Alligator mississippiensis: one gene and its partner. The protein of the gene in region 1 interacts with the protein of each later gene in a biochemical or structural test. Links are inferred from orthologs where the notes say so. Each region holds a gene or a part of one and is shown on either strand. Other genes may lie near its edges.

Evidence for each region.
Region 2: the proteins of RPS6KA3 (region 1) and PEA15 form a complex in vitro, tested with the Homo sapiens proteins (2 studies listed by BioGRID). The link is inferred for Alligator mississippiensis from reciprocal best matches to the Homo sapiens genes RPS6KA3 and PEA15.

What each region holds. Positions count from the first base shown.
Region 1 is NC_081824.1:318,755,153-318,763,075, reverse strand, and holds the start of RPS6KA3 (ribosomal protein S6 kinase alpha-3), read right to left. Parts: upstream 3,028-7,923; 5' UTR 2,861-3,027; coding exon 2,789-2,860; intron 1-2,788. UniProt on the Homo sapiens protein: Serine/threonine-protein kinase that acts downstream of ERK (MAPK1/ERK2 and MAPK3/ERK1) signaling and mediates mitogenic and stress-induced activation of the transcription factors CREB1, ETV1/ER81 and NR4A1/NUR77, regulates translation through RPS6 and EIF4B phosphorylation, and mediates cellular proliferation, survival, and differentiation by modulating mTOR signaling and repressing pro-apoptotic function of BAD and DAPK1.
Region 2 is NC_081838.1:21,050,806-21,058,267, reverse strand, and holds the start of PEA15 (astrocytic phosphoprotein PEA-15), read right to left. Parts: upstream 3,045-7,462; 5' UTR 2,961-3,044; intron 1-2,960. Other genes in the region: CASQ1 (calsequestrin-1), read right to left, coding at 6,471-6,620, 7,414-7,462. UniProt on the Homo sapiens protein: Blocks Ras-mediated inhibition of integrin activation and modulates the ERK MAP kinase cascade. Inhibits RPS6KA3 activities by retaining it in the cytoplasm. Inhibits both TNFRSF6- and TNFRSF1A-mediated CASP8 activity and apoptosis.

The DNA of each region.
Region 1 (7,923 bases):
GAAGCATAATGTTTCTGAAAAAATAAGGTTTCTAAAATATGAACTTACATGCCTATAGTTATATGCCAATATTTGAAGTTTTTTACCACTTTGCCTATTTCACACATGCAGCATCTGCACTATAAACCCTGCTTTTTAAGACAGATACCAGTTAAGGAACTTGAGGCAAAACCTAAGGTGATGTCAATTATCACAGCTTTGAAGGCTAATGGGACTATACTGATTTGCAACAATGGAGAACATTTAGTATACCAAATTATTTCTAATAGCGCTTCTTTAAAAATTGCTACCCCAGAATTTCATATCATATAGCCGCCAAGACCATAAACAAGATCAGTGCGCCCTGCTTTATTACTTGCTGTAGAAAAAAAATCAACCTAGGAGTTCATCTTTGATACTGTATAAATTTATGCTTGTATTGCAAGCTTTTTCAGTTGTATATATTTCCTCTTAGAAGAAGAACCACTATCCACAGTAATGGTATAATTTAAAGCAAGAGAAAGGTCTGCTATTACTAATTCATTGGAACAGCACCTTGGCCTGCATGAATCAGTTTATACCGCAGGGACCTCTATCAGTACAAATGTCCAGACCTGAATACTTTAGGACTTAGTGCATCTCTATGAAATAGTAAGTTTATTGAGACATCAGTGGTGTTTTACAAAAGTTGTTAATGAGAGAGTTCATGTACCTCTACAGAGGCCAAATCATAATGTTGCTCCACAGGGGCCAAAAATCTACCACAAGTTTGTAGAGGCATACAGCTCAGGCAGGATCAAAAATTCATGGACAATAAATCTATTAATAGCTGTTAAACAGAGCAGTCAGAGATGGATCCTCTGGCATCTCTAAACCAAGGATGGTGGATGCTAGGGAGTGTGATGAATAGGGCATGGATCACTCTAGATATGCCCAGTTCATTCTTCCTCTAAAGCAGCATTACTCAAAAGGGGTCACAAGAATATATGAAAGGGTCATGAACAAACTTTAAAAATTATTTTCCTTTAAAGGAGAAAAGTGTGAATAATGGTGGCATTCCCCTTGCAGGCTGCCAGAGTTATAGCCTGCAAAGGGCTGCTTGGGGCCCCCACCCCACCCCCTTGCCCCACACACTGGGGGGCTGGGGCTAGTGGGTCAGGAGTGAGAAGCACTAGGTCGGGACAGGCCATTGATATTTACAAATGGGTCCTGGTACAACAAAAAAAAGGTTGAAAACCGCTGCTCTAAAGGAGTGGCTCCCAACCCTGCTACACTTGAGGCAACCCTCATAGCTTCAAGAATTTTGCAGCACACCATTTCAAAAACTAGTGTATTTATTACAGTGTTTATGTCCTTGCAGCAGGGCCATGCAATCGAGGTGGGGGGAACAGCCACGCAGGGAGGGCCTCAGCCTGCCCTTACCTGCTTATCTTCCTATACTTCCTGTGGCACCTGGGGTTGACAACTACTGCTCTAAGGCATCAGCTTTTGCCAGTGTTGGAGACAGGCTAGTGGCCTAGTATGGCACTTCTTATGTTTTTCACGTAGAAGCCTTGACCATGGCTCTGATGCTGCAATTAGAAGTGCACAGTGCCCCTGATAAAGGTTAATTTGTGGGAACTGAAAACATGGAGTAAGTATTTAGGTCACTGGTTGAGGTCCTTGATTAACCTGAGCATTTGGAAAATCAATCAATCAATCAATCAAGTCAAGAAACAGCAGGATATACTGAATTCAAGGAATTGTTACAGGCATTTTCTATTAAAAAAAGAGAAGAATGTCAAATCTTTAAAAACAGAGCATATTTTGAATTTAGGATTGAGGATGTGGGCAAGTTCTAGAAACAACTCTTACAAAAGGATACATTTGTACATATACACACACATGTATGTACGTATATACATACAAGTCTTGACAATTAATATAATATGAAATTACGGGGTAGCAATTTTAAAAGATGGAATACTAGAAATAAATTTAGTATACTAAATCTTCTCCATTGTTGCAAATCAGTATAGTCCCATTGGCCTTTAAAACTGATTTTATATACATGTACATATTACGTGTGTGTGTAGATATATAATGTATCCTTTTGTAAAAGTTTTATTACACACACACACACACACACACACACACACTTGGTTTAATAAAAGATATCAGATTCACCCAAAGAACCTTGTTCTCCTTTTGCAAGGTGCGTTTCTAAAATATGCCCACAAATTTCACATATATGCTAGAGGCAAACTGGTTTCCAGTCAAAAGGACCACCCTACACGAGGGAGATTAAAACGACTCTTCACCAACTCTAAGTCTTCACCAGACATAAAGAGCGGTTTCCCCAGCGCTCCCAGCAGTTACCTTTCAGCTGGAAAATTTTACCCCACTCCCGTGCGGGGAGAAAACACCCCGAGAGTGACAGACAGGTACTTTAAACTAGGCTTGAGAAACGGGAACAGCAGATCCGCCTGCCAGCCAACGAAGCCGTCTCCTCTGAAGTAACCCAAGGACAGCGGCGAGCCGGGGGAGAAACCTCTCCCCAGCCTCCCGAGCCGGAAGGGCTTGGAGCGCCGCCAAGTCTGGGCGCGAGGCAGAATAGGGGCACCTCCAGCGCCGCCCGGCCCCGGCCCCGGCCCCAGCCCCAGCCCCGCGGCTTCACGTTACTAAGTCCGCGCGGCCCCACTCCCCACGGGCTGGCGGCAAGGGGCGCTCCCCCTCGTCCGGCGCGGGGGCCCGGCGGGAAGTGCGGGCGCAGGGTCAAGAGAAAGAGGAGGGGAGCGGGACACACACGGACACAAGGGGGGGGCGGTACCTCGGCTCCGCTCTCGGCCGCGCTCTCCACAGCCATCTTCTGCCAGGGGTCCGCCAGCTGCGCCAGCGGCATCTTCCCGCCCGCCCGCGCGCCCCGGCTCCCAACCGGCCGAGCACGAAGACACGGCAGGGGAGGAGCGGGCAAGACCGCGGGCTGCCCCGGCCCCGGCTGCGGGTCCCACTGCTACCGCCGCGTCCCGCTCCTGCCAGGCAGAGCCGCCCTCCCCCCGCACCGCTTCCGCTCCCGCTCCCGCTCCCGCTCACCAACATGGCGCCCGGGCCATACCTGCCCGTCAAACCGAGGCTGTGCACGTCAGCAGCGGGGCGGGGCTGTAGCGGCCAATCCGCGACGCCGGCAGGTAGCGGGGGGCGGAGTCAGTGGCGGGCAGTAGGGGGGCGGGGGGAGTTCCGTTCCTGCGTGGGCGGGGGTGGGGGGAGGGGCCCGGGGCGTCCTGTGGGGGCGGGGAGAGGCGTTGCTGGCTGTGTGCACACCGCTCGCGCAGGGTCCGAGTGTGTCCGGTTCCGCCCAGCCCCGCCTGGGGCGGTCCTTAAAGTCGCCTGGTAGTTGTTACTCCTAGTCAGTCCGGTTGGGCAAAAGACAGGCAGCCTGCCGGACGTTGCCTCTCCTCAAGTCATTTGTGGGCCATCAGAGTTGCCACTACCCTTAGGCTACTGTGACACCCCTCCAGCACTCCCCTTACACTATCATGACACCCCTCTAATGCTACCATGACACTACCATGACACCCCTCTGCCACCTCCCTTATGCTACCATCACACCCCTCCAACACTACCATGATGATACCATGACCCCCCTCCGACACCACCCTTAACACTACCGTGACACCCCTTGGAAGCTACCATGACACCCCTCTAACACCACACTTTCAGAGAAAAAAGCGTTAAAACTCCCAGCATTAGCGCAGCCTAAGCCTATGCTCAGAGGCATGTAGGTAGGGGGGCACAGACAGCAGCCTTGCCTTGTCCAAACGGAGCACTAGAGATATTTCCATTTGCTGACTGTGTTTCTTTCTCTGTGGCCCAATTTGCTGATGTGAGCCCACAACTGGGTGGAGTAGCCAGATCCATAAGGGGCACAGCTAGAGCCCCAGGTCAGCTGTGAACTTCTCTGCCTGCCGTCATTGTGGGGAGTGGATGTTTTTGGTCAGCCTTTGCAGGGAGCAAGTCAGTCAGACCCCTTGTGTTGCTTCTGAGTGACTGGTTCTTACCTCCACAAGATTTCCTCAGGAAAGCTAATGGCTCCTCTGCACAGTGAAGCTTACTGGGACTAAGGGAGGGCATAGGTTTGAAGTGAAGTAGCTCTTCCTGGTTAATTCCCTGTGTGGGTCCTCTTCTTTTCTGGAAAAGGCACCTCTATAAAGTAAGTCCATCAGGAATAGCTTCCTGTGTAAAAGACCCCTTTGGTGCCTGTAATCCTCCTCTTGGGCTAAAACACACAACTGGGTTGATTTGTATCAGAGTATTTTTGTGCCAGGTCAGATCCAAACATGATAGTCAACCAAACTCAATGTCCAGCATTAAGTGCCTGAGAAGTGTCCGAATTAGAACTTTGCCTGAGAACAATCGTGGCTAATTGCCATTGATTCCCATTTAAGCCTCCTGTGTAAATGACTGTCCCCAAGCCTGCTTTGATGTCAGTCATATCTCTGATGACTCAGCCCCTGATTAAATCAGTCCTGTGTTTCTAGGCTTTGCAAACTTTGTTCAGCACTTCTACTAACTGTGCTTTGGCTGACAGTAACAGACACATCTGTGATCATGTAGCACTTGTAGCCAATTCATACACCTTTGCTTACACATCTATGCTCTTCTGCACAACCAGTGCAGAAAATCCTAATATAGACAACCTAGAAATTCCTAGACTCTCCTTAGACAGCTTGCATACTCAGCCAAAGCTTAGGCAAATGTAAGAGGAAGAGACAAGAAGGGGTTTTTAAGAGAAGAGTCAAGTGAAAAATATTGTGCAGTTAGAGTAAAGGAAGGACTGGGAGGAAAAGATATCACTAGATAGAAGGAAATGGTGATTACTGATTAGGCAAATAAAGGGGAGGGAAATGAGAGTAATGACAAGTAATTTTTAAAAGAAAAAAATGCTTTGAACGACAATTTGATCAACAATATTACACTTTAACTAGTAGTTTATTTCCAGCAAGTTCAAGTTATTTAAAAGTCTTCCCAGATTTTCATAGGGTGTAGGGAATGGATGTCACACATGTTTTATCCCCTGACTATCAACTTCAGCTTAAAATAATCTTTGACTTTTAGCTGATTATGCGGCCTGATATGACCATACTGAGTATAATGTGCTTACACTTCTATTTGGTAGCATTTTTCAAATGCTTTGCCTTCACACACAAGTAAGTGACTATGGAAAGGTCTAAAGCAGACAAGAATTAGATTATTTTTGTTAACGAACAAAACCCTTATTTCTGCCTAGAACCCTGCTTTTAGAATAGGAAGAGACTGACTCTGGCCAACTATTGCTCTGAAGTACAGGATAAGGTAATGGAAAAGAGAAATAAATCACTAATGTTTGACAGTAATTAAGCTTAGGTACATCATGAGGAATGTTTCTTAGAAACTGACCAGAACACTAACAATCTCAAGCCTTCCTTTTTAAGGTTGGCTACTGGAACAGTGAGTAGACTGTTGAAATATAGAGTGATTGTAAATATCTTTGAAACACAAATAAATACTTCCCATCTCCAGGGTGAGATAACACCTGTATCTTCAAAAAGCGAGCAAACTCCTCCCTCCCTAGTTTTAAATGTATTATTGAAAGGCATTTCTTTTCCTATATACTGGAATAATTTGGTTTATTACAGCTACTTTATTTATACTGGTGTAAATATTTATTTATACTGGTGTAAATACTTTATTTATACTGGAAATCCACAGCCACACAGCAGAGAATTCCAACCCATGAGAGAAAAGTTAGCAGGAGCTACAGCTGCCACCTCAGCTCATATGTGGTGAAACCTAAAAAAAACCCAACCCCTCTTTCAGGCTGATCAACTAGCAAAGACTATCTTGCCATGTAGAGTTGACAGTCTCCTATACACTTTGGCATTTCCCCTCTTCCATTGGCATCTGGCCTAAACTGAGCTCACAATTTGAAGGAGGTCTGGGTAGGAGGAAGGAGAGGGAGGAGAGTAGCATGTCTAGTCAGTTGTGTCCTAAGACAGTGGTTTACCAACATGTTTACTTTTTTCTATGCTTTGTGAATCCAGAAGAAAAAAGACAAAGAACAGGATATCAAGTACTAATGGGTATAACAGCAATAAACAATACAGAACTATATATCATGCCTTGATTGTTTTCTCACAAGATCAGTGCAACAACAGCCATTTAAACCATCACCTTACCTCATTACTGTTGGTCCAGTTCTTGATGCAAAAATCTGCAACAGCATTGTATTCACACAGACCATTTTTATAAAGTATATTCAGTTGCCATTTCATTTGAACACATTTCTGTCCACCCATTCTTTGCAATTTTAAGGCAGAAAGTACAACTAACTACCACTATTTGCAAGTTTATGAGACTGAAATTACCTGCTGCAACAACAAACAAGAAGCAGAATGATGTAAGTCACATTCTCTACCTACCTCATCTCCCTCCCTTGTATAATTTAGGTACTTTATTTTGACATAGAGGCGTTCACAAGTATTATGTAGAAAATACCATGGAATGGAAATGGTAGTATTCTGGTACGGTTACCTTCATGTAAGAAACATTAATTGCAACGTGATGTAAAGTACCAAGTCTTCACCATTTTTGGTACTTCAGCCATAGTAAAGCTACAATGCCATCTTGCACTGAGGGTAGGCAGTGACTTGCTAGATGGCTCACTTGTCTATTTCTACTCTTGCAGATGAAGGAGTGGGACCTAACTGATGGTCAGTGACACAGAATACTGCAGTAAGGCAGTATTGACACTTTGGTGATGTTTAGTGCTACATCTGCTATGAATAGGGTGGTTTGTATTCTCATTTATAGTAATATTTTAAACAAAACCAATGAGCATAATAGTTACATATAAATTCAAGGAGGTCTTTGTTGGAAAACTCTAGCCGTACCTCCAAGGAGGAAGAGAGAGACTGGGATGAAATTATAGTTTCATTACAGTCAAAGGCAAAACTTCAGGTTATTGCACCCTGGTTAGAAGCCTGCCTCCACTGAGCATAGTGCTACATTTATAAAACACTTCTTGACTCTCTCACAAGGCTGTTAAAGAGAATATATTTTTGGGGGTTCCTGTGATAATATTTGGGAAAATACATTAAAAAATATAAATAGAAAAGTTCCTCCAGTATTTATAGAGTAATCACTCAAACTTACTTTTTTATAAAGCATATAGTACTACACTAGATGCAACTGTAGTTGCACTACAGTTCATACTCCATCATAACTTACAGCTTCGTAAGTGTAAGACAGGAAGAAGTAAATAAATTACAATACTAAATAAATTTCAGTTGTTCAGATATTGCAACTGGAGTGATGTATAGTGAATTCAAATATCTTTCAATGGTTTTTATTATCTCAGGCAAGAAACTCTTGATAGAATTTAAATGTACAGAAATTATCATTCCATAGTCTGTGGATGAAAGCTGGGAATAAATTTGTTTCTATGGGAAAAATGCTAAAAGGATTGAAGTGGAAGTTGACAATAGACTCTATTAGATTTACACTGTTTGGGGAAGTCTGTCTTACTCTCAGGACACCTTGATTCAATTCTTATGCACAGTTGTCCTTTGTGATATGAGGCAAGTCATTATTTTTTTTCTTAACCCAGTTTCTCATTTACATTAAAGCTGCTTTAGGCTGCTCTTAACAGTGTGTCTTGAAGTGAGAGTTAGAGGGATTTAAATTTATGCTGTCACAGCAGTTTTTAGGGGCCTTGGTGGAAATGAGAATTAGTCTCTCTTTGTGCCTCAGTTCTAAGGTGGATACAATGGGGATGATACTTCCCTGTCTCATAGGGATGTTGCAAGGTTATGGTTATTAACGTTTGGAAAGTTGTCAGAAACCTCAGCGATGAGGAGCAGCAAGCAGAATCTTGGTGCTGAAAGGCAGATCCTCAATTTGAAACCCATGACATTAAATTACAGCTGG
Region 2 (7,462 bases), on another chromosome or scaffold:
CCGTTGTAGGGCAAGAGGGACCAGGAGCCAGGACTCCTGGGTTCCCTACTCCCAGCTGTGGAAGTGGGGAGCCAAGCAGGACTCCTGGGCTCTGTTCCCAGCTCACTTGCACAATCACTTTCTCCCCGTGCCTTAGTTTCCCTCCTGTGATCCAATGCCACTCGCAGCAGTTTCAATGCCACTCCCTGCCCTGCCTGGGGCTGGGGCGAATATGGCTGTAATTAGAGGCCTCACCGGGCCTGGATGTGGCTGGTGTGGGCACCTGGGCACTGCATCTGGGAGAGATAATTAGAGACTGGGGGTGGCAGGATCACAGTGCGCCGTCTCTGCGGGGGCGATGTGGTCCCAAGTCGCGGCTCCAGGGCTGCAGCGAGGATTGGCTGGATGAAGGACTGCGGGAAAAAGGCAGAGACAGAGGCTGCCTCCTCCAGTGCTGGGAAGCTACTCGCAGGGGCAGGTACGGCCCAGCCTAGGGGCAGCAGGGCTGGGCACAGGGGAGGCCTCATCTCCCTGAGGAAGGGAGGCATAACTTTCACGTGCATACCCATGTGAACATGCATAGTCCCCCTGCCCTAGCTGCCTGGCAGCGATGCTCCCCCGGCTAGGTGGAGGTAAGATGGGTACCATGGGGCGTCTACTGTGGGGCCAAAGGATGCCCCATGGTGCCTGTCTGACCTCAACCCTTCCACGGAGCATCGCTGCCAGACACCTGCGGTAGGGGGACTAGGCATGTTCACATGGGAACATCTGTACATGTTCATTCGAGCGTGGGCACACACACGTGAAAGTGTGCGCTGAGCCTGCACATGCATCCGCACGGATGGTGAGTGTGCACTGCATGCAGACACGGAGCGTGCCCTGCGCGTGGCAGGGTGCTGGGGTGTACATCACAATTGTGGGCCATGTTGAGCCCAGGGGGAAGTGTGCACTGACTGTCACACAAGTGGCGGCTGTGAAATGACTGCGAGCGCGTGAGCGTGCAGGCTGGGAACATGACGGGCTCCAGGGATCCGGCCCTGTGGGCAGGCTCTGTTTAGGATGGGAAAGGGTTAAGTTCCCATGTATGCAAATACAGCTGAGCGGGGCAGGGAGCCTGGCAGGGCCCCCAAATCCCCCCCACTGCATCCTCACCAGCACCAGAATGGACCCCTGCCTGCCTGCTCCCCCTGGCTCTGCCACTGGCCTACGGGGGGATGTGGCCACCCCATGCCTCAGTTTCCCCCTCCCAGCCTCTGCCTGCCTCATCTGCCTGGCCGTGATAGCCTCTGCTTTCTCCATGCAGCGCCCGGCACCACGAGTGCCCCGACCATAGCCGTGCAGGGCCACAAGCTGCCACAGCACAGAGTTGGCCTAGCAGGGCAATTGGGGGGGGGGGGGCGGAGGCTGCTCAGGCACACACGTGTGCCCACTTGCAGACCCGGTGCCAGCTAGGGAGGCTGGCAAGGGGGGCTGACACGGCGGCCCCATGGGAGGAGGGGACCAGTGCCACGGCGGCGTGTGAAGGAGCGGCGACGAGCACAGCTGGCAATTTCCGCCGTGATTGTTTAACCGTGATTGTTTAGCCGCGCGCAGATTACAGGACGGGCAGCTCCACTCCCAGCCCCCTTCTGGCCTGCCGGCATCACGAGGCCTTGCCCTGAGCCCAGAGCCCCCCAAGCCAGGCCCCGCCAGATGCCCATGGCAGGTGCCCCAGCCCCACCACCAGAGTCAGCCTGCTGCTCCCGGCGTGGATGGAGCGGGCTCCAGGGCATGGCGCTGGAGCCAGACCTCAGGGCGAGGAAGCCAGGCCTGCCAGTCGCACGTCCAGCCCTGGCATCAACTGGGCATGGGGGCGTGAGGAAGGGGCCCAAGCCAAGATGCCTTTGAGAGGCCGGTTCCCAAAACAAAGGGAGGAGCAGCCCCAACCCCAACCACCCGGCCCCTGACACGTGGGGTCCATGGAGGGCAAACGGGGGACTCTTCACAGAACGGGGACGGAGCAGCCCACAGCCAGGTGCCCGGACGGGGACCCCATCGGGAGACCCCCAAGTCCCAGGGGGGCCAGCCAAGGCACACGGAAGCTGCCCCAGGACATCACGGCGCGGGGCCAAGGGCTCTGGACAAGCTGAAGGACGTCCTCCAGCACTGCCCTGCGGGGCCGCGAGAGGTCCCAGGAGATGACATCAAGTCTGGGGCCAGCTCCCACCAGACTGGCCCCACGCCCTCCAGCGAGCCATTCCCACGGCGCTGGGTCCCCCCACCCCCGGACCCGGGTTTGGCCACCTCGAGGCACCAGCGCCCTGCACAGAGCCGCCACATGACGGAGCGCGCCGCGAGCACCAGCCTGGTGCCCCCCGCACGCGCCCTCTGCCCACTGCCCCTCCCTCGGCCGCCGCCCGGGCACCGGACAGGGAGACCGAGCCCAGACCCGCACGTGCAGAAAACGCCACGCACGAACCGGGCACGGAAAGCAGGAGTCCGGGGAGCTCTAACCCCTGCCAGGCAGCCCCCAGCCCCAACTCCTAGACACCACTGCCTCGCCCGGCCACGCCCGGCTTGACAGCCCGTGGGCAGAGATCAGGCGACCAGTCCGGTGCCGCCCAGCGCGCGGGGCAGGGGCAGGGGCAGGGGCAGGCCGGACCCCGGGCCCCGTCTCCGTGCTGGCGCGGGGGGCGAGGGGCTGCAGGCCTGCCCTTGCCCCGGTGCCCGGGAGCATCCTGCTGCGTGGCGCGGGCGCGGGACTGTGGGGCAGGGCAGGGGAGCGGGCAGCGGCCAGCACCGCACCGCACCGCACCGCACCGCACCGCTGCACCCCCGGGCAGGCACGAGGCGGGGCGGCGGCTGCCCTGAGCCGCCCGCACCCCGGCTGCTCCCGCACGCGGCATCGGGCACCTCCCGCACGCCCCGCTCCCGGGCACCCCGGCTCCCGCGCGCGGCGCCTCCCCCCGCCCCGCGGCCCGGCCCGGCCGGCCGGCACTCACCGCTCGGCGGCTGCGGGGCTGATCGCGGTCTGCGCCGGGCGGCGGCTCCTCCTGCGCGGGGCGGGCGGGGCGGTGACGTCACCGGGCGCCTTTGTGCTCCGGCCGCGCGGGGCCGCCCGTGTGTGCGCGTGTCGGTGTGCGTGCCTGCGTGTGTGTGTGTCTGGGCACATGCGTGTGTGTGATTGTGCGGACACACGCATCAGTGTGCGAGCGTGTGTGGGCATTCGTGGGCGCGTGCATGCATGAACATCCATGAATGTGTGCATGTGCAAGTATGTGCGTGTGGGCCTGCGTGTGTGTGTGCATTTGTGCCCACGTGATTGTACATAGTGTGCGCGCGTCTGTGCAAGTGTGGGCGTGCGCGTGTGTGCATGTGTGCCTGCATGTATGTATGTACATGTATGTGGGCATGTGCGTGTGTGTGCAAGTATGTGGGGGTGCATTTGTGCCTGCGTGTATATACATATATGTGTGGGCGTGTGTGTGTGTGTGCAAGTATGTGTGTGTGGGTATGCACGTGTGCATTTGTGTCTGCATGTGTGTACATATGTGTGGGCATGTGTGTGTGCAAGTATGCATGTGTGCATTTGTGTCTGCGTGTATGTACATATATGTGTGGGCATGTGTGTGTGTGCATTTGTGCCTGCATGTATATACATATATGTGTGGGTGTGGGCGTGCATGTGCATGTGTGGCCATTGGGGTGTGCATATGTGTATGCATGTGCACACATGTGTGCATGGGCATTTGTGCATGTATGCATGGGAATGCTTATGGGGGGGGTGTACATGTGCACATGTGTTTCCTGGCTGGATGGAGGCGGGGAGCTGCCCCTGCCCCTGGCATCTCCATCCCTGCCAGGCGAGGCCTGAACAGCCAGCCTGTGCCCAAGGGCTCCAGGCAAGAGGGGCAGGGCCCAGCTCCATGGGGTCAGGCTCGGCCGCTACTCTTTCACCTCAGCTCCTTTCCTCCAAACCAAACCAGGCCAAGGCATCTGACTTGGTCACACCAGCCCCCCGCACTGGGCAGGCCAGAGCCACCTGCCCCACAGGGCACATGCAGCAGGGTCCCCCATGACAGCCCGGGTCCCAGAGGGGCTGCTCCAAGCCACGCTGTTCCCTTCAGCTTCACTGCTGCACTAGTGCAGCCCCCTGCCTTGTCCTCGCTCCCCTGCAGCAATGGGTGGCAGGACTGCGTGGTTTGCAGGCTGGCACGTGCCCGCCACCCAGTATTGCAGAGTCAGCTCCAGAGAGGCTGGCAGCTGCGGTGCATAAGCAGCCTTGAAGACGGGGCCCTGGACCCAGCGGCCTTGCCCCTGAGCCCCCCACTACTGCCGCAGTCCCGCCCCCCACAGCTCCCTCGCCCTTTGTGCCACGCAAAAATGAGACTGAAAGGAGGAAGCAGGCCGAGGACGGGGCTTTCACTTCCCCGGGGCCAGAGATCTGGTGCTGGCAGGCGCCCTCAGCCTGGCAGCCAGGCCCACGTTGGGCAGGGTGCTGGGCCTCACGTGGAGGGAGGGGAGCGCCCAGGCCTGCCGGCCTCTGCCCCAGGGAGGCCAGATCCATTCCCATGCGTGCGGCTGCAGCTGGCCGATGTGAACCCAGAGCCGCAGCTGTTTGGATGGCCGCCACCATTTCCTTGCTCGGGGCTGGCAGCTCCAACCACTTGCGATACACGGCCCCAGCCTCCCCACCTCCCGTGGTGGCAGTGGGGTGGGGCTACTGGGGGGGCTCCCAGATGCTCCATCCAGGGCAAGGAGGGAGCAGGCTGGCCTGCTAGCTCCCCCTTACACTGGTGGGTGATCGGGGCACTGAGGTCTCTTTCTGTTTCTCTTGGGCAGGAAGTGAAAAGAGAATCTCATTTCCAGTTGAAACCTCTGGGGGATTTTACTGTAGTGGAAAAAAATTACCCAGGATTGGGCAAGGCCAGGGCACCAGGCTTCTGCCTCCATCCCCATGAAATCAGGGGGCATCCAGGAGTGGTGAGTCCAGCACCGTGGCGCCCACTTCACGGCCCCTGGGCAGCCCCTACTGCTACGCTATGGGAGCTGGGCTCCCCTACCCCTGGCCCTCCCATGTCTGCCCTGTGCAATCGAGTGCCCTGTCATGGGGCACTAGGGTGAGCAATGCCCTGCACAGAGCCTGCAGCACCCCCCAGGGACCTGCCATCCTGCAGCCCAGGGAAAGGGCCCTGCAGGCTGGGACCCTGCCAGGCTTCGGTGCCCCAGTGCAGAGGGTCCATCGTGATACCCCAACATCCTCCCAGCTACAGCACATGTCCCAGGGTCTCTGCAGCTGCCCCCCAGCTGGCAGCCAAGGCTGGAACTGCCCCTCCATGCATGCAGAGAACTGCCCCTGCTCCCCCACCCTTGGCACTGTGGGCTGCAGCTCCTCTGCCCCACCACCTCCCCATAGCAGTCTGTGTGCTAGCCCCCAAATGCAGCAGATATCCCAGCAGGCCTTGTCTTCACAGCTCCTCCATGAGCAGGTCCAAGGATGGGGCTGGGGACGCCCTGTAGCAGGAAGCACTGAGATGGAGTGAACCCCCAAAAACAAAGCCCAACAAGCACGGTCCATTCAGTTCAGCCGCAAACCAGGACCAAGGAGAAGGGAAGAGTCCCAGGGCCCCAAAACCCAGTCTCGTTGGAGTCCACACGAGCTCCAATGAGACGCAGAAACCCACCCCATGTTCCCCTCCCATGGGTCTGGCCCGACACAGCTCTCACCAGCCGGGCGCCGTACTGCAGGTTTTATTGCCTTGCTGGTTGCAATGTTGCTCTGTACAAAGTTGGTTATAAATATACAAATTGCACATTGGTTGCTCCCCGGGGCAGGGTGGGGGGGAAAGGGGGCAGGCTCTAGCTGGGGTCTGCCTGCAGCAGGACCCCTCTCTGCTTCCCGCAGGCTGCAGGGCTCCCGTCACAGGGAGAGCCCGAAGACAGGGTCACACGCTGCCAGCAGGGCACGAAGTGGGGCTCAGGGCTGGCTTCTGTCCCATGTTGGCATGAGCTGGCTCTGAGTGCATGGGACACTGTTGCCTCAGCTGGTAGCAACAGGAGCCACTCACTCAAGTGTCATGAGCCCTATAGAGCTGAGAGAGGATGGGGATTTTCCTCTAGCCTGAGGGTTAGTGGGGTCAGGGCTGTGCTGTGGCCTGACTCCCCCCAGCTGTTCGAGGAGGGGTGTCAGGGCAACAAGGCCAAGATAAAGCTCAGCTAAGCCCTGTTTCGTGCCTTGTGAGTGCCTTGGGAAGGGGGAGGGGATGGGGGCACAGGCTGCATTGGGGGGTTCCTCCCCCCAAGGAAGCCAGCACCTGTCAGGGGCAGCATGTGGTTCCCGGGGAGCCGACGGCTTAAATAGGATCCATACAAAAATGTGCCACGGCTAGAGTCTGGCCACGTGGCCGTGGCCACACACTGCTGTCACCCCACCCCCAAGACCCCGTGGGTGCCCTGGGTGGGCCCGGGCAGAGTGTGGCCCCGGGCGAGACCCAACAGGGAGGCGACGACATCTAGTCATCGTCGTCATCGTCATCATCGTCGTCGTCATCATCGTCCTCTGTGTTGATCTCGCCTTCCAGCACATCCTCGATCCAGTCCTCCAGCTCATCTACCGAGGGCAGGTCTTCCTCGTCATCCATCTCCATCCAGATGCTGTCAGCCTGTGAGAGGGGAGGGGCGCAGGGGTAAGGTGGAGAGGGCACAGGGGGCTGGTGGATCTGGCATGGCTATTCCCAGAAGGTCATGAGAGGGCAGGTCTTAGCTGTGGAACAAGCCAGTCCCATCGCTAGTCCAGGGACAGAGCTCCCCTGGTCCCATGTGGGGTGTGGCTGGGAATCAGCTGCCTGGCCTGCAGAGCCACTGACCCTGGGATGGGTCCAAGCAGGGCAGGGGCCTTGCCAATCCATGGGGAGGGGGCAGCCAGCACCAGGCCCGGGGCACAGAGATCAGCACAGGGGGCAGAGGCAGCTGGGAGAGGCCAAGGGAGCCTGTGGCAGGACGGTTTGGATACAGGGCGCTCCGGCTGGCTGCGCATCACGCCTGGCACCAAAGTGTGTCGGACGCGTATTCCCAGTCTGCGCTCCAGCATGTGTGTAAAGCCCAGGGCAGCCCCACACCTGTTGCCAGAAGCAGATACGTGGCCCATCCGGAGTCAAAGGTCAGGGTCTGAGTGGCGTGGAGCAGATATACGTTGTCCCTGCTTCTGCTGGGGCACAGCTGGTGCGCTGGAACAGTTACCCCTGAAGCGAGGAGCTGCTGCCCTCTGGTGCGAGCTATTTCGGGGCACAGAACGTGTCTGCTCCCAGGGCTCAGGGCAGCCGTGTACCCACCCCCAGTGTCCAGGGGCTGTCCCAACACCTCCTGCCAGCGGGCAGCAGAGGAGAGTGGCAGGAACCCCCAGGGAGGCCAACACAGGGCCACAGCTGGGGCGAGGTCGGTGGCTGGGGCACTCACATCGGTGACGTTGACCACGCCGATCTGGGGCTGAGACAGGTCAATCCCA